Linked DNA regions of Lonchura striata. The protein of the gene in region 2 interacts with the protein of the main gene of each other region in a biochemical or structural test. Links are inferred from orthologs where the notes say so. Each region holds a gene or a part of one and is shown on either strand. Other genes may lie near its edges.

Region 1 (9,868 bases), on a different chromosome or scaffold from region 2:
GCTTGTGGTAAAAATAAAATAATAAAAAAAAAAGAGTGTACTTAGAACATTCTCTGTGAGTCACATGCACATATTTAATTATTGCTATTCTGAGATACAAACCAGTGTTAGAATAAAATCAGATAAATAAATAGTGCAAGGGAAGGCAAATGTACAGGTATATTGCTCCTTTCTGCTAGAAAGCCTGGTTTCACGAGGCAAAATCAATGAGAAAAAAAGCAGACCTGTGGCGTAGATGCAGGCCAGGAGTCTTTTTCTAGTCAGAAGAAAAGAAAAGGACAAGGCATGAAGTGTTACAGGAAATGGGACTAGGAAACCTTAGAGGACTTCCAGGGGGTTGTCGTATCTTTCACATACAGCAGGATAAAATTTTCAAGGGGATGCTGGTTTCCTCTCCAGCATGTGCATTTCTGCAGAACTATTCATTCCGCTGATTTTTCTTTTTTTTTTTTTTTTTTTTTTTTTTTTTTTTTTTTTTTTACAACAGATACTTCCCCTTTTGAAAGCAACGGTGAGAGTATTAAAACTTTTAACTTTAGCTCACATCAAATTAACCAGCCAGCTTAATGACCAAAGTTTTCAGACAGTAGCTTCAGCCTACACTGCACCGTGGTTGAGGGCAGAATTTAAAGGTGCCTTGGGTTTACTGCTGTGGTCTCTCCAGTGCTATGTCTGTGCTTTTTCAGCTGGGTGATTTTGTAGCTTCCTCCTGTACCTCTCTGTTCATCTTTTCTGACTATTCAAAAGTTATCCTTTTCCCTCTGATATTTTGCTGCTGTCTTTTCCTTCCTTTTCTCTTCTATTCTTCTGCTTTGCCCTTCTAATCTGCTTTAGTATTTTCTTTCTTCACGTCATTATGCCCTTTTGTTTTTGGCTTCTGTCTCTCCATTGGTTCTTTTCTCACTCGCTTAACCTCCTGTTGTTTACAGGCCGACCTACATCCCACCCATCATCTTGTTTCTCTCTTTCATCTTTCCTCCTTTTCTTCCCCCCCTCCTCCTAACCTCCTCTCAACAATAAAAGTTACTCATGGCTTGAGGGGGAAGCATCTGGCCCATGCTGGCTCTCATTCTCTCTTCTTTGTTCTGAATGTTCTTTTGTTGTAAACACAACAAACAGTAAAGCACAAAATCAGCTCTCAAGGCAAACACTGCATAATAATCCTCCTTGTCCCCGCTCCTCTTATCTCTGAAGAATTTGTTCTCCAGGCAAAATAAGAAGAAACACGAGATAGGAGTCGCCAAATTTGGAGGCAAAAGAGACTGGAAAGAGCCTCATCATATAGGGCAGCACCACTGAACTGCAACTTGGGCAGATTCAATAAAGTAGGTGAAATATAGCTTGCCAGAAGTTTGGACAGCAGTGTGATGATCCTGTGGTTGATCAATCCCAGTGAATCAGTCTGTGCTCCCATTAGGTTGTAGAGGCATAGACAGGACCAAAAATGCTAGGGATTTTTTTTTTTAAGGACTTAATTTTTGGCACCTTCTCCTCATCTGTGCCTTGAGCCAAGGCCTTGTGTATATGGAATGTGTGAATGTGTTTGCCAAAGAACTGTACCTGCTAGACCTCCACTGAGGTTCTCAAAAAGCCACAGCAGGGTGCTTCTATGGGGGTCACATGCCAGCTCCAGTCCCTGAGATAAATTAAAATAAGAACAGGCTTGCTCATCGTTGGAGCTCTTGCTTAATGTTAGATAGAAATTCTCTGATTAAACCAGCTTTCCTCAGAAAATGTAAGCTCCCTGGAAGTGAAATGCTAGTTGGCATGCACTAGTTAAGACATGCAAGCGTTCTCAAAGCTAAAAAGAAAAAAGCCTGTTAAGCAAAAGACAAGCCTTTCCCAATCCCCACAGCTCTGTGGTTAGGATACCAGTGTTTAATGTGGGGCAGTCCGCATCAGTTCAGCTTGGGATCCGTTCTGCCTGGCCCTTCCCCTAGCAACCTTAAGTCTGGCTGCCCACATGCCATGGGCCTTCATCCTAGCACAATTACTGCATTTTGCATAATACACGATTATTATATTCACAAATAGACTGGATGGATAGCTTTGGTGCACTATCAGATAGCTCTGCTAAGGAGGTATTAAGGTACTTCCTCCAGCAGCTGATCTTCAGAATTAGCCGTGATGTGGGAGGTAGGTGTGTGTCCTGGGACAGAAACAAAACTGGTATTTAGGAGGCACAGGGTGTGATGCAAACTTCAAATCTAAATATTTGAGCATCAGCACACAGGGGCAGAACTCACTGAAATGGGTATTTTCCTGCACATTCCTTATGGAAAGTGGGGTTTCAGTGATGCATTTTGAGCTTGAGAAAGAAACAGTCTTTCTTATTACTTCTCCAGCTCTGGTTAAATAAAGACGTGCTACCCATGATGTTCTGCATTATGTGTTTATGTGAGATTTAATTTTCAGCTATACGTTTATTGCTTCTAAACTGGACCGGTAGCTATGTATGTATTTAATCTAATCTTGTAGTTTGGATTGCTCAGCATTTGCAACAGACTTATGTGTGTTAAGAATAAACAACGAATAAGGACATTTCAGAGGAATGCGGTCCAAAGATTGTCTCTGAAATGTGAATATGCTTAAAGCTTTCACAAATATGGCACCTTCTCACGCTAACAAGTAAATGAATATTTCCAGAGCTAATGCCAGAGTTTGGGACAGCTGTGTAATCAGATTCAACGTGGAGCTTGCTATGCTTGCAAACAAATGGAAAATAAGCTAGGAAAAAGAAAAATTCGAGCCAGAATTACTCGAACAAAGTGTTAGGGAATTAGGCTGGACAGAGGTGAGGCTGACACCGCTCCTTGCTCCCAGTAGCAAGAATGACCCTGTATTCCCTGGAGGCACGTGCATAAACCCACACGGTGCAGTTACACAAACAGCACCAGTGACCTCTCAGGAGGAGGAGGGAGCTCCGGCAGTGGGAATAAACATATAAATATGATAAGGTGGATCCTTCCAAGGAGCTGGGCCACAGACATCAGTCTCGCTGATGCTGGCACAAGGCTGCAGCTCCGCTCCCGTTGCTGGCACACACACACACAGAGGTGTGTGCACGGATGGCCAAGACACTCCTGGTCCCCCCAGGAGCCAACCTGGCATGGCCTCACCCTTAGAGACAAGCAGACACCAGTGGTACTCACCCCTATAGAGAGCACCTCACAGCTAAAAATAGGATTTAACAACGAGATAGGGCAAATTGTGCTAACCAAGTGCAGGACAAGGCTGGACACTTTTGCTGGTCAGCCAAGAATTTTCATGCAAGTAAGTGTCCCTTCTTCCCCATATCTCTTCCTTTCCCCTCTTTGTTTCCTCCCCTAAGCATCCCATTGTAAGTCTCCTACAAGCCCCAAATGCTCTTCCCGTGCATCCTGTAAGGTGTCTGTTCCCCTGAACACAGCACCTCCTCTTTCACAGTTTGAAAGGTGCTCCAGCTTTGGCTTTGTGATGAATTTCACACCTGGGTTGATGACTCTCCAGAGCTGCTGGCCCAGGCGGGGTGTCCTTAATCCGGGTTGTCACCTGGCAATTGTGTTCCTGTTTACCTCCGGGTGTATGAAAATGGAACCTTTGATGTGCTAATGGCTCTTGTGAGGGGCCGGGGAGTAGCTGGGGCGGAGTGTTAGTTGGGGCCCTCCTTCTGCCATTGTCCCTCCGTGCTCCCCTGTGGGTGTGAAGAGGCGTTTTTGTCACACAGCCGAAGAAGGGGGACTGTGCAGGCATCCCGTGCCCTTATACTCTTTTTCTGCTGGCAATAATATTTTAACAACAATACACGGAATACCCATTAGATATTTATCAAATAAATATGACATATAAACACCTCGTGACGGCATTTATCACTCACTCTCATGAATGCCGTAAAATAAACGGGTATTTCTGAAAGTGAGTGAAGGAAAGCTTTGCCCTGTTAATTTCCAGTTAGTGTGGCCAGGTGACGACACCAAATAAACAGCAGAATCGAATTTAAAATGTGATTGTTCCAGTTCCCCAGAATTTGATGGCAAAAGTGGTGTCTGGTCTCAAGGTATTTTGCCTAACAATAAAAAACAGGGTAAGTCAGCTTTTTTTCCCTCACTGTCCTTGCCCCCAGCTGCGTGTTTTCTGAAGTCAAAGTCCTTGACAGATTCTTAATTCAGTGAAGACTTTTGTTGTTTGGCAGCACTTTTGTTTGATTCAAAGCACAGCTCTTCATCATTCTCTTGGAAGAGTTTGGCAAGCGTTTGACCTGAAGGATGGATAGTAAATGTGGAGCACGGTAGCGTTTGATTGAATTATAGACTCATAAACGATTTAAGTTGGAGAGGACCTTAAAAATAATTTTCTTCTTTCTCCCTACCATGGGCAATGACACTTTCTACTTTTTTTCTCAAAGCCACATCCAACCTGGCCTTATGGGCTTCCGGGGATGGGGCATCCCCAATTTTTCTGGACAATCTCTGTCAGTGTCGGACTACCTTCACAGTAAAGAGTTTCTTCCTATTACCTAATCTAAACCTGCCCTCTGTTATTTTGAAGCCATTCCCCCGTGTCCTGTCACTACATGCCCTTGTAAGGAAGGGTTTTAAGTCTGGGACTAGATCCAAATTCAGCTTTGCCCCCGCAGATTCTAGCATCGTATGAAAAATATATTTTTGGCAACCACACAAACAAAAAAATCCCCGAAACGCAACTGCCCAGAACTCTACTTCATCCACAGCTTTGCGAGGCGGTGGGAGCACCCGCAGCGCACGGCATTCGCCTTCAGGCTACTGCCCGTGCTGTTTGCGTGCCTGCCTCTGCACCGTCACTGCCCGCCGTGCTGCTGTAGCTTACACACCCAATAATAAAGACATTTATTTTTATATACATCAAATAATAAATAAAGACGTGGTTTTACGTCACGCTGTCGCTGCAAACAGCCCAAAACACGGATTGCGCCACTAGCCAGCGCTTCGCGCGTGGCATCCGCGGCGCGGCGGGTCCTTGCGCGGTGCCCGCGGCGGGGGGAAGCGGGGCCACCGCCCCTCGGCCACCCCGCTGTCCCCGCCCGGGCCGCTCCATCACCGCCCGGCAGCCCCGCACGCAGAGCGCCGTCACGGGGGGCGTGAGCGGCGGGGGAGCGCGGCGAGCGCCGTGCTTCGGGCAGGGCGACGCCCCGCCGCCTCCCCTCCCCCGGCGGAGCGTATAAAGCGGAGGCGGGCACGGGGCGGGCTCGCGGCACTCCCGGGCGTGGGCGGCGCCTCTCGCGGGTTCCGTTAGGTGCGGCGGGTGGGCGTTCGCCGGCAGTCGGGCACCGGCAGCCTCCGGCCATGGACACCAAGAAGGTAGGGCGGCGAACGCGGGCTCCTTCTCGCCCTTTCCCCCCGCTGCGGCCGCCGCTCGGGGCTCGGCTCCGCGGGCGCTTCGGCGGAGGGCTGGGGGGAGGGATGCGGTCGCGGCCGGCGGTCGCCTGCGGCTCGCCGTGGGGATGGATGCGGTGGTGGTCCCGGCAGGACCGCTGGTCGGCCTTTGGCAGTTCTGTCTGGGGTGGGGGGAGGGGGACCGTGCCGTTTGGGAAAGATTGTCGCAGGTCGCGCGATCGATTTTGGTTTCGTGCGCGTGGCCTGATGATGCACATGATGCTGTCCGCGTTGTAGGATATTGATCACGAGGTTTGTTTCGCTGGCGGCGCCGCACTCGGTTGGTCCCAGGTTGGGATGCTGAGCGGGGGACTGATGTTAAAGACTTTTTTTTTCGTGGGTGGCAATATAACTTATAAAGGCATTTTTAAATCTCAAGAAAGTGGCAGAGCATGTCCTTCCCCTCCTCAGATGGAGAGCAGGGGATATTTGTCGGTGTCTGCTCGTGTGCAGCAGTGGAGTGAGCTCATGATGGCGTGTATTTGAACGTACTAAGGGTGACCAGCCTTGGACCTGGGGCGGGATGCCGGGGAATTACACGGGAACAGCCAGAACTGGAGAAGGCCGGGCCTCTCATCGCCATGTTGGTGGGATGTGGGGGCAGTGTCAGAGGATGAGGCAGAGGAAAGGAGAGCGTCTGGTCAAGGTCGTTCAGAGAAGCGGGCGAGGCCACTCCTGCCGGGCTCAACAAGTTGTACCGCTCTGGGGATGGAGGCAGTGAAGGAGGGGAGCTGGTGAGGAGCATCTCCTGAAAATGAATGCTGCCGACGCCTGTGGTCGGAGGGAGGGATAGCGGTTTGAATGCCGTGCTGCTGTACAGACCTCAGCCTTGAGCCTTTGGATAGAGTGGGTGTAGCTGTACTATTTTTGAGCTCCCTGTTTGCCTTTTGGGAAGCGAGGCACTTGCAGCACTAACAAATGATCCATACATTAGATCACAGTTTGGCTCACTGGAGGAGATGGGTCATGGCATGTGATGGGAGGCTGGGCAGGAGGCAAATAGCAGGCAACAGCCAGGAGAAGGAAGTATGAAACTGGGTAGAGCAACTCGCCCAGTAGCTCATTTATGTACCATGTAAGTGAGGGGTGCCCACAAAGCAGGGACCTTATGGTCCCTGCAGCACCCAGAAGTAAAAGGCCAGCTGTGGTCACTGCAAGCCATGACAAAGCACAGTCCTGGGGGAAAAGTGCTCCTGTGTGAGCCATGTGGAGAGCTGGGGTTTGTCTGCAGCCTTGCCATACCTGCTGGCTAGAGATGACCTGGCCTGGAGTCCCAAAACTGCTTAGATGTTATAATGCATTTCTATATGCATCCAGATGCTTTGAAAGAGCTGTGTCCTTGTGGTTCTGTGCCAAATTTCCTTGAGATAAAAATGAGTGGAGTGGTCACAGGGTGCCAGGGAGAATGCTGCACTGCCTAGGGTGTGTTCAGGTGTGAATGCTACCTCCGTGCTCATCTGCCCCCTGTCCACTTTGTCTCCACCACTGACCTGGGCAGGAGGACATTTACTTGATGTAGGTCGGTGTAGGAAACCATCCCTGAGAGTCCTTCCCCCAAATTCTGTTTATTGAGGCAGAACTGCTCATGTCTGAGGGTTGTTCAGGTCAGAAGCACATTCGTGCCAGGCTTGAAAGCGTGTTAGAGGTGGCACGAGCACCAACAGAAGGTTATGGTCAAAAGCTTTGGGCACTTTTGGGAGCCACTACTCCTGGAGCTAGAAAGTGAGAGACTGGAAGAGCTGTGATAGTAGGCCTCACCTAGTAGTTTTCTCTGCCAGGCCTAAAGTACAATAATTGGAAAGTCTTGGAAAAGGAACTGTTAATATTTTTGGAAAAGCTTCCAAACCTCCTGAGATGGGAAGGAACACAATCTTTCCAAATTGTGCCAACTCAGGCAGTGGCTGCCTAAGTGCCAACTCCTGAGTCACCTGCTCCCCCACACCTCCCTCACTCGGAGCTGGCTTAAATGCCACAAGCTTTAAAAATGAATAAAATGTCAGATTATTTTTGCTGACACTTAAATTTCTCAGACTGTGGGACTTCTGAGGTTGGGCCTTTAAGCTTTCCCTATGGCTCTGAGGGCTCAGCCGTTTTTATTTTAATGTAATGGAGGTTCAGGTCTACTGAAACTTCGGGGAGTGTGCTTCATTTGAGATAGCAACTATTGCCACAGCTCAAAGAAAAATTAAAGAAAAATAGACGGGGAGCTTGCTAGCAACTGCTGCCACCTCTTGAGGCACGCTGCCGTGCCAGTGCCCTGGGGCAGGGTTGGGAAGCCCTAGCCTGGGAAAAACAAGCCTGTTGCGGAAGGGAGTGCGTGTTGTAACTGTTGTGAGTGACTGCCAGTGTAGCTCATGGGCAGCTCTGAGTCTCAATTTATGTGAACTTGTCAGCTGGCTCAGGGAAGAGTTAGACTCTTCTTTCATGACATGCCAGAGATCAGCAAAAGCTTCTGTAAAGCAGATCAACCCAAAATAACAGCCACTAATGCAGGCAGTGTATTCATTACTAATGAGCTGAGAATAGTTGCTGAAGGTCAGGAGATAATAAAGGGGAGGCCCTGACAAGCCCTCCTACTTGTAGCCACAGAACTTTTCCTGCTGTACAGTTGCATGTCTCTTTCCGGGAGGGGGATCCAAGGGATGCAACTGGTACTTGCTGGATAAAAGCCCATTCCCTGCCCTCAGAGCACTTGCGTTTGGCACCTATGAGCTCAGCTGCTGTTTATGCTGAAGAGAAGCTAAAGTTGTGTAGAAAGCCGAATTAACTAAATAATTGTTCCCCCTCTTCCCACAGAAAATCACAGCGCCTCTTGTCTATGCTGTTTGCATTGCTGCCATTGGATCTCTCCAGTTTGGGTACAACACTGGTGTCATTAATGCACCTGAGAAGGTGAGAGGAATGAGCTGGGGAGGTGGGACGGACGAGGGGCTGATGGGAAGAAAATTATGTATAAAGGAGAGGGACTGTCTCCCAAGCACCCAGTAATTTGGTTTTGGTTTATGAAATCAGTAAGGCATTTAAAACTGCCGTCCAAATACAGCATTGAACAGGAAGGACAAAGTTCTGGGAAGGGGAGAGAGCAAATGGGTTAATTCTCATAATTAGGAGCACAGGAAGGGCAGGAGGGCTTCATCTACTATATGTGGTGTGTGGAGGAATGTGAGCTGCCTTGGTTTTGAGTCAGAATAAACCAACCATGGCAGAAAGAATGTAGAGAGCAGTGTACAGAAAACAGTGAAGGGTTGGTAGGAATTACAGCTGCCCTAATTTAGTTTATTTTACTTGTTTATTCGTTCCTTGTGTTAAGCGTAGATTCAGTGCTTGTAAAAAGGGTTGTGACTTGGACATTTGACGAAATCATCCTATGACTGTAGCCTAAGAAACAAGAGGTGAAGAAAATGAGAGATGCAGTTTTCATGTAACTTTAAGATGGTTCCTCTGTCAAGAACTGAGTCACGAATACCACATCCACCCTGTCTCCGGGAAGAGATGTTCACGACGGGATGGGGGATGGGGTCAGTCCTCCCTAGTTAATGTCCTGCTGCCATCTGCTGGGGGCAGGCACTCTGTCCCCCCACCCACCAGCCCAGGCCACAATTTACCTCACTCGCTAAGAGGATGCCTGGGAAATCAGCAACGTGGCCCTGTCACATCCCCCGGGATGGCATTATGTAAAATAGAAACAATTTTTCAGGCTTACTTCAATGAAGCCTTGTGTGTCTCCAGCTATTTCTATACCAGAAATTCTATCCCTGCTGTCAGTGTTGTGGTATTGCCAGAAATGTTCCCATCCACTCACTGGTCATGTTTGCTTGTTCCCTTTCATTCCCAACTGTCTCCCGCCTCCTCCCAAGAACCACCTGTGACTCACACAATCTGAAATATTCAGAAGATAAGCCTGTTTTCCTTAATAAACACTGCTGTCCTGTGGGTACCCTGCCTGCCCCTCCACTCAGTGAAGCTTTCTCCCTCATACTGAGCTTCTTCTCAGTGAAAGCTCCTCCTTCTGTGCCCTTGTCTTCCCCTTGAGTAAGAACTTGTTGCTGCCTTTTTGGGTCTCTCTGTGTTTTCATGGCAGCAGGAAGCAGAAGGAAGATGGTAGTCTCCCCTCTCTCCAGTTACAATTGGGATTGTAACTGAGATTACTGGATTGTAACTCTCGCTACCCGATTCCTCTTGCAGATCATTCGGATGTTTTTCAACAAAACCCTGTCAGAAAGGAGTGGGAAGGCTGTCTCCCAAGAACTACTCACCTCTCTATGGTCACTTTCTGTAGCCATCTTCTCAGTAGGAGGCATGATTGGCTCCTTCTCAGTCAGTCTGTTTGTGAACAGATTTGGCAGGTAAGTTGGGAAGAGGGGGATGCAAGCTGTTGGGGAACTTTTCCCTTTACCAAGGAGCCTTGGGAGGAAGAGGGCAGAGGTGGGAAGGGATGTCTGGGGAGGAAGCAAGAATGTGTGGGCTGCAAAAAGGAC
Region 2 (9,387 bases):
TCCCATACAGTCTCTTGTTCCTTGATTAAATGATCCTGCTCTGTTAACATATGAGCTGCCATGCAGTGGCATAAGCATTTTCCCAGCTGACTGGTTATCTTACAGGGATCTGTAAGGGAAGAGCCTGCATGAGATGGAAGAAACTTTGTAGGGACTAGTAATGCCCCAATGCAGACAGAAACACTCTAAAGGACTTGGAGATCCCAGTGATTCTAAAGTCAGGTACTTTAGAATCACACTTTTTTGCTGTGTTTTCTGCATAGTGACGGATGAATCCATCTGTTAAGTACATATTGCATATCTAAATCTGTTAATATCTAGCCTAAAATCTATCTAGATAATAAAAGCTATTTCCCTTCCGTCCCTTGCAGTGTTTCATGAGTCTCAGTCCTGCAGGGTAGGGTTGGTATCATCCCCTTCCATGAATTCTCAGGAACACTGAGCACAGCAGCCCTTCCCTGGTGCTGAAGGCTAAGGATTGTGAGCAGCCTGAGATGCTGCCTGGATCCCCACAGCTTGGGAATGTTGTCCCAGGGACTGAACGTGAGCTCTTCAACTCTTTTCTTCAGAAGGGATTAATTCAATTAACACAAATAACAAACCAGCTCACAGCACTCTATAAATAGACTGGTGGGCTTTGACACAGCTCCTGGCTATGCCAAGAAATGGGACTAATAATAGCTGCTTAACTGTGGGGTTCAGGGGGCTGGAGAGAATTGGCAGAGACAATGCCAGGATGGCTTAAACCTGCCATGAAAATCAGCTGGGCAAATGTGGAATCCCAGCATTGTCTGAGTTGGAAGGTACCTTAAATCTCATCCCATCCCACCCTCTGCCATGGCAGGGACATCTTCCACTGTCCCAGGCTGCTCCAAGCCTCACCCAGTCTGTCCCTGGACACTGCCAGGGATCCAGGGGCAGCCACAGCTGCTCTGGGCACCTGTGCCAGGGCCTCTGCACTCTCTGCAGTATCCCAACAGCCATGAAGGAAATTCTGCTGGAGGGGATGGTTCAGGGTGGGGGGCACAGAGCCCTTCACTGCCACACTGCCAGATCCTTCTCCTGGGGACTGTTTGGAGGATAATGGAGTCAAGAGATGTTTTTTCTAGCTAAAAAGCAGCAATTTCCCTCAGGGCTGAGGTCAGGGCCCTGGCAGCACCCCCAGTCCTGCACCTCAACCTCCTGCACTCCCCAGCCCCTTCCCCTCCCACTGCTCCTGCTGCCAGGAGAAATTCCCAGCTGGGCTTTTGTCACCGACGCACGCGTGTTTCTGCGGGAAGTTTCTATTTCTGTGAATAGCAATTTTTCAAGCAATTCCTCCCCCGCCTGCTCGCTTTCACAGGAGCCCTGACGAACGCCACTGGCATTCCTGGAAGCTGCAGCTCACTCCTGCATGCCAGCCCTGGCCAGAGACTTCTCCCTGTCATCCCAGCCTCTGTCCTACAGCTCCACGGCATGGGAATTATGCTCATGGTATCTTGTGAGGGTCAAATCGAGCTGGGACCACTCTGTGTGCTGGGTTCCCAGTGCTCACCGTGTGCCCTGAGACAGGAAAGGGCTAAAAAGAAGTGAGGAAGCCTGAAGGAGCCCCTAAAAAGAAGTGGGGAAGCCTGGAGGAGCCAAGCCTGTGGAAAACCCCAGAACATCAACATCTCTGCTTAGGGGGCACAGAGACCTCCAAGAACATCCTGGCATGTCCACTTTCTCAGGCCACAGCTCTTGCCAGGCCTAGGTGTGCAGAGGAGACAGCAAGTGATTGATTCCTGTCTTTGATTAAACCTTGAGCCAAGCCCCCCAGTGCTGGAGCCAAGCCCCCAGTACTTCACCAGTCTGTCAGCCCTATTTGATGGACCCCCTGCTCAGGGTGAACCTCCCAGTTTGGGACTGGGGTCTTAAGGGCACTTTGAATTCCTTGTTTCCATTAGAAGACACCACCTGCAGTACTCGCCTGGGGTGTCTATCCCACATAAGTTGACATAGGAATATTAATTGCTGTGTCATAGGAATATTAATTGCTGTATCACAGGAATATTAATTACTGAAGCAGGGGGTCCCACAGCCAGGCAGAAGTGGTGGCTGGGGGATGTGCTCTCTGCTGGGGTCACTGAGCAGTGGCCTCGCTGCACTCACAGGGTGAGGCTGTTTCCCCAAAGGAGGTGAAGTCAGAGTGCTGTGACCTGGATTCAAGGACCATGGTGCTTTCTCCATCCCAGCAGCAGCACAGGGAAAGGCACTGGAACCATCTGGATGGCTTCCATGCATCCAGGCCATGCTTATCAGCATCCCTGCCTCGGGGCACAGAGTTGAGAAATGAAAGGGAACAACCCAAATGGTGCTGTTCTGCTGCACTGAGAGCTGTTCAGAGATCCCACTGCTGGCTCAGATGGGAATGGGCCCTTAGAGGATGGAATTATCAAAAGCAGCTCTTGGGAATGAAAAAAAAGCTGGACAAACTGCTGATTGCAGCTGCCTGACTGGAAAATAAAGTGAGTGCTCCCAAGGCATGTAGCTCAGGGGGAATGAGCTCTGTGTCCACTTGAGGACCGAAAGACCAAAGTCCCCTTGCTGTTCCCAAAGAGAGAGGCACTGGACAGGGGATGGGATCAGAGGGGAATATCCTTGGGGTGATGTAGAAGTGCTTGCCACAGTGAGCATCACCATACTGCAAAGGCAAAGTGTCACTTAAACCCCGAACATTTTAGTGAAAAGAAAATCAGGAATATGTAAAGCATCTGTTTTGTAAAGAAATAACCTTCAGGGTTTTCTCTGCTGCAACCTCAAGAAATTCCACAGCTGCTACTGCGTGGGAGGGAGCCCAGGGAGCATTTTTCTCCTCTGTGTGAGGCTGATGCTCAGGGCTGGCTGCAGCCCCTGGCTGGGAAGGGCTGTGCTGAGCAGCACATGCTGCAGCCCCCCTGCCTCAGGTGCCCAGAGCTTCTCTCCACCCACTTCTCAGCCAGCCATAAATGTTACAGAATTCTTACAAATCCTTGTGCTTTCCAGAGGGGCTGAGACCTCAGTAGTCCTGTCCCAGAGGCTCCTGGCACTGCTTGAAACACTCTGCAAGGGGCAGAGGGGATGTGCCAAGAGTGATTTGCTACTCCTGGAGGTATTTTCTAGTCCTAATTAATACAGTAAGAATGAGTGTCTGCCAAGGATGTAAAAATACTCGCGTTTTCAAGATCCAGGGCAAGTAAGGAAAAAGCAATGCAGACTTGTCTGAATGTCTGCAGACACCATGTCCCCCTGCCCAGCTCCTGTTTAACACCCATTGGGACTCTAGGGAAGTTCCTGCCCTGGCTGTGGCCGCTGGGATGAGCCACAGCTCTGTGCCCAGCTCCCACTGCTCCTCCTGTGACAGCCCAGCGCAGGGACACCCAAAATGTCCAGTGTGGGGGCAAGTTTTGGGATGAGCAGCTGGGAGCCTGTGTCCCTTCCCATGCCAGTCCCAGGATGGAGTGGGAAGTGCCAGGTCCTCCTGGTGCCCTGTGTCAGGCCAGAACAAGGAGCACTGGGGAGCACTGGGGAGCACTGGGGAGCTGTATCCCTGCTGGTGCCCCATCCCAGGATGGTGAGGGGAGAACCAGGCTCTTCCAGAGTCCCATCCCAGGATGGACCAGTGGGGCCCTGGTGTCCTGGCCTCTCCCCATGCTCCATCCAGGCCAGAGTCGTGTCTTTCTGGTCTCCCCATCCCAGGCTGGAATGGGAAGAGCTAAGGAGCACTGGGCCCTCCAGGTGTCTGTCCTAGGATACAATGGGGAGCCCTGTGTCCATCCCAGGATGGAGAGGAGAGCTGTGTCCCTCGTGGGCAGGCATGGGGAGCCCTGGGGAGCGCCGTGTCCCTCTGGTGCCCCTCCATCCGGGCTGGAGAAGGCAGTGCTGGGGAGCACTGGGAACATCGTGTCCTCCCGGTGCCTATCCCAGATGGAGCGGGGAGCGCCGGGGAGTTGTGCTCTTCCCTGTGCCCCATTCCATGATGGGGAGCACCGCGGAGCTGTGTCTGTTCCTGGTGCCCCGTCCCGGGTTGGTGCGGGGAGCACTGGGGAGCATCCCGGTGCCCCGTCCCGGGAGGGAATGGGACGGAGCCGCGGTCCCGGTCTCTCCCAGGGCTGTGTCCCGGTCCTGCGGGGCGGTGTGTGGCGGGAGGGGACAGGGCACGGAGCGGTGCGGGGCGCTGAGGGGCGGTGCGGAGAGACTGTGCAGGGTGTGGAGAAGCGGTGCGGGATAGGAGGTGAGGGGCGGTGCGGGCGATGTGGGACGGGGGATAAGCGGTGCGCGGGGCGCTGAGGGGCGGCGTGGAGCGGTGCGGGGCGGTGAGGGACGGGCGGTGAGGATCAGGCGGTGCGGGACGGGCGGTGCAGGGCGGTGCGCAGGGCGGTGAGGGGCGGTGTGGGACGAGCGATGCGCGGGGTGTTGAGGGGCGGTGCGGGACGGTGTGGGACGAGCGGTGTGGGACGAGCGGTGCGGGACGAGCGGTGCCGTGTGAGGGGCGGTGTGAGGGGCGGTGTGGGACGGGCGGTGCGGTGTGAGGGGCGGCGCGGGGCGGTGTGGGACGGGCGGTGCGGTGCGGTGTGAGGGGCGGTGTGGGACGGGCGGTGCGGAGCGGTGTGAGGGGCGGTGTGGGAAGGCGCGGGGTAGTGTGAGGGGCGGCGCGGGGCGGTGTGAGGGGCGGTGTGGGACGGGCGGTGCGGTGTGAGGGGCGGCGCGGGGCGGTGTGAGGGGCGGTGTGGGACGGGCGGTGCGGTGTGAGGGGCGGCGCGGGGCGGTGTGAGGGGCGGTGTGGGACGGGCGGTGCGGAGCGGTGTGAGGGGCGGTGTGGGACGGGCGGTGTGGTGCGGTGTGAGGGGCGGTGTGAGGGGCGATGTGGGACGGGCGGTGCGGTGTGTGGGGCGGTGTGGGACGGGCGGTGCGGAGCGGTGTGAGGGGCGGCGCGGGGCGGTGCGAGGGGCGGTGTGGGACGGGCAGTGCGGTGCTGTGTGAGGGGCGGCGCGGGGCGGGCGGTGCGGTGTGAGGGGCGGCGCGGGGCGGTGTGGGACGCGGAGCGCGCGAAGATGGCGGCGGGCAGGCGCGCCCCGCGCACCGGGCTGCTGGAGCTGCGCGGCCCCAGCGGGCAGTGGCTCCGCGTCCTGCTCACCCTGGCCGAGGACGTGCTGGGGGTCAGCCCCGCAGACGGCCCCGGGCCCGGCCCCGAGGCCCCGGCGGCGCAGCTGAACGGCGGCGAGCCGGGCTCCGCCGCTCCCGAGGCGCTCGCCAACATCAGGCGCACCGTGCGCGTCGTCAAGCAGGACGTGGGGGGGCTCGGCATCAGCATAAAAGGTGAGGCCGGGCCCGGGGGTCCCGGGGCGGCGTGGGGAGAGGGCATCGGCAGCGGGACCTGTTGCTGCTGCGGTCCCGCGGCTCGCTCGGAGCGAGCCCCGCGGGGAGCGGGGCTGGGGTCGGGGTCCTCACCGTCCCCAGCCCCAGCTTAGCACGGGGAGGGGATACGTGGCAGTGACGGCACCGAACCATTCCCAGCCTACGGAAAGAGCGATGATTTGGGGTGCGGAGTGACCGGCCAGTGCCTGCCCGCCGTGCCCGACCGGGGTGAGGGACCCCAGGGTTTGTGAGCCGGTGGGAGACCCGCTGTCCCCTTCACCCACGGGTGGGGTGCTGGGGGCACCGGGTTACGCGAAAGTTTCTCTTTTGCAGCCAAAAGGAGGGCTGGGCCGGCGTGTCCTTGTCCTACCGTGTTCCTGAGTTGGGAAATGCCCCTTTAAAGCTGTCAGCAAAACGAAGGGAGGGATGTAAAGCCCCGGGAGATCTGCCGGCGCTGGGTGGGGTGTTAAACCAGCGCGCTCGAGTTTGGAGATGTGCTCCCGGGAAGCCTTTCTGTTTTATGTCTGTTTTCCCTCCCGAGCTGTTCCGCTCCTTGGTGACTCGCCTGAACTTCAGGCTGGAAACTTCTTAGGGCAGTGCCGTTCCTGCCTTTCTGCCTGCCTTTGATTTTCACGGGGCTCCGAGCGTGTTGGAAACTGTGAAAGCAGGATGAAAAGGGCAGCGCGGAGACAGGGACAGGGCTGTCACGGAGCGTGGCTGTGAGAGGCAGCGGGCCGCCCCGGGGCAGTGACAGGACAGCTCTCCCCTCCTGACGTGGCTTCTCCTCCCAGCTCAGAGGGGGCACAGACGCAGCCTCCGGCTCCCTCTGGTAGTGGGGAGGTTTTGCAATGTGAATGTGCGGCTGCTGGAACTGGATCGACACTGCTGGCCGTGTCTGCAGGGTGCCCCAGCGTGCCAGCCCTTTTTTTGGGAAGCACAAACCCCCTTTCGTAACCACCCCATGGCTGCCAAGTTATTGCTTGCTCTGTGGCTCCTCCAGGAAAGGAGAAACTTCCCTTGGTTCAGTTAAAACTTTACTTTTGCAGTGACGTATGTGGAAAAGATGTAGTTGCCATCAAAAATGGGTAGTGGAAGGAGTTGTGGAGGGCGGGGCAGCCTTGGTAGGGCAGGACAATCTCCTCACCGAGCTGCTGGCATGTCGCTGTTCATGTGCCAGCCGTGCTTCATGCAGGGACACTGGGTGCCACCTGGGGTTGAATGTCCTGCCGCAGGACGTGGCTTGGGGCTGTCAGGACAGCGGGGAGCCGAGCGAGAGCCGGGCTGGCGGAGGCTCTTAGCTCTGGCAGGGCTCTCGGCACTGGCAGCCGGGCGAGGAGCCGCTGGCGCAAGGACGGAGCAGCCCCCGCCGGGGCCTCTGACAGCTGATAACCGGAGCCCTCACTGGCTTGGCAGGCGGCTGAGCGAGGAAATGCCTGTGGCACCGGCTGGGAGCAGCCCGGGGCGGGCAGTGACAGCGGGCTGCGCTCAGCATCTCCCTCTGGGATGAGGATTATCTCTTGGAGACTCCTCGGGACAGGCTGTCCCGGGGCGCGGGGCACATCGGGCACTGCTGATCCCCGGCTGCCACGGGCAATGGCTGCTGCATCCCTGTGCCCTGGCACGGAGGCGGCTCGGATCTCCCTGCGGGTTCAAAAGTCGATGTGCAAATTGATCTCCTGAAGCCGCCGGGAGTTTGAATAACATTCTTTTAGTCAGGACAGTGGGGAGCACCCGGCAAATAGGGCTGCTGTGTGGACAGGAACATGCAGCCAGATTGGTTTACCTCTCCCTGCCTCTTTGGCCTCTCCAAAAACATTCAGCTGTGTTATCTGTTGAGATCATAAAGTCCTTAGAGCCAGGATAGTTGCTCAGCATACATGATTAATAATGCAAATAACGATACACTTTCCTGCCAAAACTGATGGGGAGATGGCCAGGTTATGTGTTCACTCTGTGAATAATCCGTGACCAATCTGAGCGGTTTTGGAGCAATCACTTCATCAGCTGTAAAGCCTCATGGTACTTTGGCTGCTGTGGTTGGTACAGGTGTCCTGTGGGTATCTGGGGGAGTGGGCAGTGGGCTGACCTGGCACGGTGCTTTGAGTGCCAGCAGAAAGGCTCAGCCTTGCTGAGACCATCTGGTACCACAGCATCCCTCTCCCCACACACTCCTCCAAGCGCTCCTACAGCCACAACCGCTCCCTGTCTCTTCTGTTTCAAGGTGGCCGAGAGAATAAAATGCCCATCTTGATCTCCAAGATCTTTAAGGGGCTGGCAGCAGACCAGACCGAGGCGCTGTACGTGGGGGATGCCATCCTCGCCGTCAATGGCACCGACCTGTCCGAGGCCACCCACGATGAGGCCGTGCAGGCCTTGAAGAAGACGGGCAAGGAAGTGATCTTGGAAGGTAGGAGACAAAGATGTGATGAGGGCAGAATGGTTCTCCTTCTTGTACTGGGATGACACAGGGGTGGCATATCATCTGCAGCTGCATTTGCATACTCTTTCAAATGGAAAGCAACATATGCAGAGTAATTTGTCTGCTCATCCGGAGAGCTGGAGGTAACTGCTGGGATCTCCCTGGATCTCCCTGTCTCCTTACGGAGAGGGAGGGATGTCTGTGCCAGTACTCCATGCCCAGAGGCTCTGTCTCCCCACTGTGGGACCTCAGGCAGGCAGCAGTGGGAGGTGTGGGACAAGTTTCTGGAATTTGGGATTCTTTCATTGCACAGCATCACTCCCATGTCTGCAGTTCCTGGGGCAAGAGAAGACATTTTCTGCTTTTCCCCTGGTTTTAATTTAAACCCACATCTCTGGCTGGTGTAGGTTTATGCCAGCAGAGAGAGGGTGCACTGGTCCCCCACTCCTGCTGAGCACCTTGGGGTTTGCTGGGTGGGTTTTGGGCACGTGGAGGGTGCAGCAGGGCCTGCTCAGGAACTACCCATCCAGGGGATGCTACCCACCAAGGGGATCCCTGGAAGCTGAGGCTACAAACATCCCAGGGATGCAGCCTTCACCATGCTGGAGCAGGCTGTTCCCTGGGAATGGGCTCCATCTGGTACCAGGCAGATAATCCCTGGTGTCTCCAAGTCCTGAGGGGGCTGGCACACTGTAGGAGCCCCCTCAAGCCCTCCTTGAGGACTGGGTGGGGGTTGTTGGGTTGGGACCATGGGAGTTCTGAGGGAGAGACCCCATTCTTCTCTGGCTACCCTTCACCTCATATCTGTCTATGTTTGCCCACCCTCTGCCAGCTCAGCCAGGCTGTGATGAGCATCCCAGATCTGTCCCTCGGGAAAGGAGCCTTCCCCTCCCCTCATTCCAACAGTCCCTGGGGTCACCCTGTTTACAGGGGGTTTTGGCACCAGAGACCCTTCCCAGGTCCCAAAGGGGGGTTTGATTTGGGGGCAGTGCTCGGGGCTGTCCGTGAACAAAGCAGTTCTGTGTGCTGTGCTGCCAGCGACCACTCTGGCTCCGGCTTTCCTCTGCTTTCCCCAGATTGTCTCAGCTCCAGATTTTAATTTTTAGCTTTGCTCAGCCCTTCCTACTGTGGGTTCCTCCTCTCCTGGGAGCCTCAGGACCACGGTTCAGCTGGAGGAATGTGCTGCTCTGCACAGCTGCTGGGAGCAGATAGGGTTGGTGGTGGGATGGTTTTGTTGTTCTTTTCTGACCAAAGAAAAATACAAGAGCTTCTTTCTTTGTGAATTTGTGAAATTCCTGCCTGGAGCCGCTGCTCTCAGACCACCCTCCCACCATTATCTTTTATTATATTAGGGATCCAGGTCTCCCTCCTGGGAGGCAGCTGCAGGCAGGGCCTTTGCTGTAGCTTGCTGAGCTCAGTATGACCTGCTGGGTTTCTTAATTAATTAAAACAACAAGGAGGTACCCTTAGGAGGAGACTGGGGCTGGGCTGGCTCCCACTACAGCACTCTGGAGCTCTGGGATGAGTTTGTATCTGATGTTGTTGGGGTCCAGCCAGAGCAGGGAAGGGATCGCTGCTGCTCATCTGGTCACTGATGTCACTGATAAACATGG

What was found.
Region 1: the proteins of SNTA1 (region 2) and solute carrier family 2, facilitated glucose transporter member 3 interact in a test that uses a peptide from one of them, tested with the Homo sapiens proteins (2 studies listed by BioGRID and IntAct). The link is inferred for Lonchura striata from reciprocal best matches to the Homo sapiens genes SNTA1 and SLC2A3.

Annotation. Positions count from the first base shown.
Region 1 is NC_134604.1:31,302,967-31,312,834, forward strand, and holds the start of solute carrier family 2, facilitated glucose transporter member 3, read left to right. Parts: upstream 1-5,154; 5' UTR 5,155-5,300; coding exon 5,301-5,315; intron 5,316-8,186; coding exon 8,187-8,282; intron 8,283-9,575; coding exon 9,576-9,736; intron 9,737-9,868. UniProt on the Homo sapiens protein: Facilitative glucose transporter. Can also mediate the uptake of various other monosaccharides across the cell membrane. Mediates the uptake of glucose, 2-deoxyglucose, galactose, mannose, xylose and fucose, and probably also dehydroascorbate.
Region 2 is NC_134619.1:12,416,535-12,425,921, reverse strand, and holds the start of SNTA1 (alpha-1-syntrophin), read left to right. Parts: upstream 1-5,014; 5' UTR 5,015-5,051; coding exon 5,052-5,316; intron 5,317-7,576; coding exon 7,577-7,762; intron 7,763-9,387. UniProt on the Homo sapiens protein: Adapter protein that binds to and probably organizes the subcellular localization of a variety of membrane proteins. May link various receptors to the actin cytoskeleton and the extracellular matrix via the dystrophin glycoprotein complex.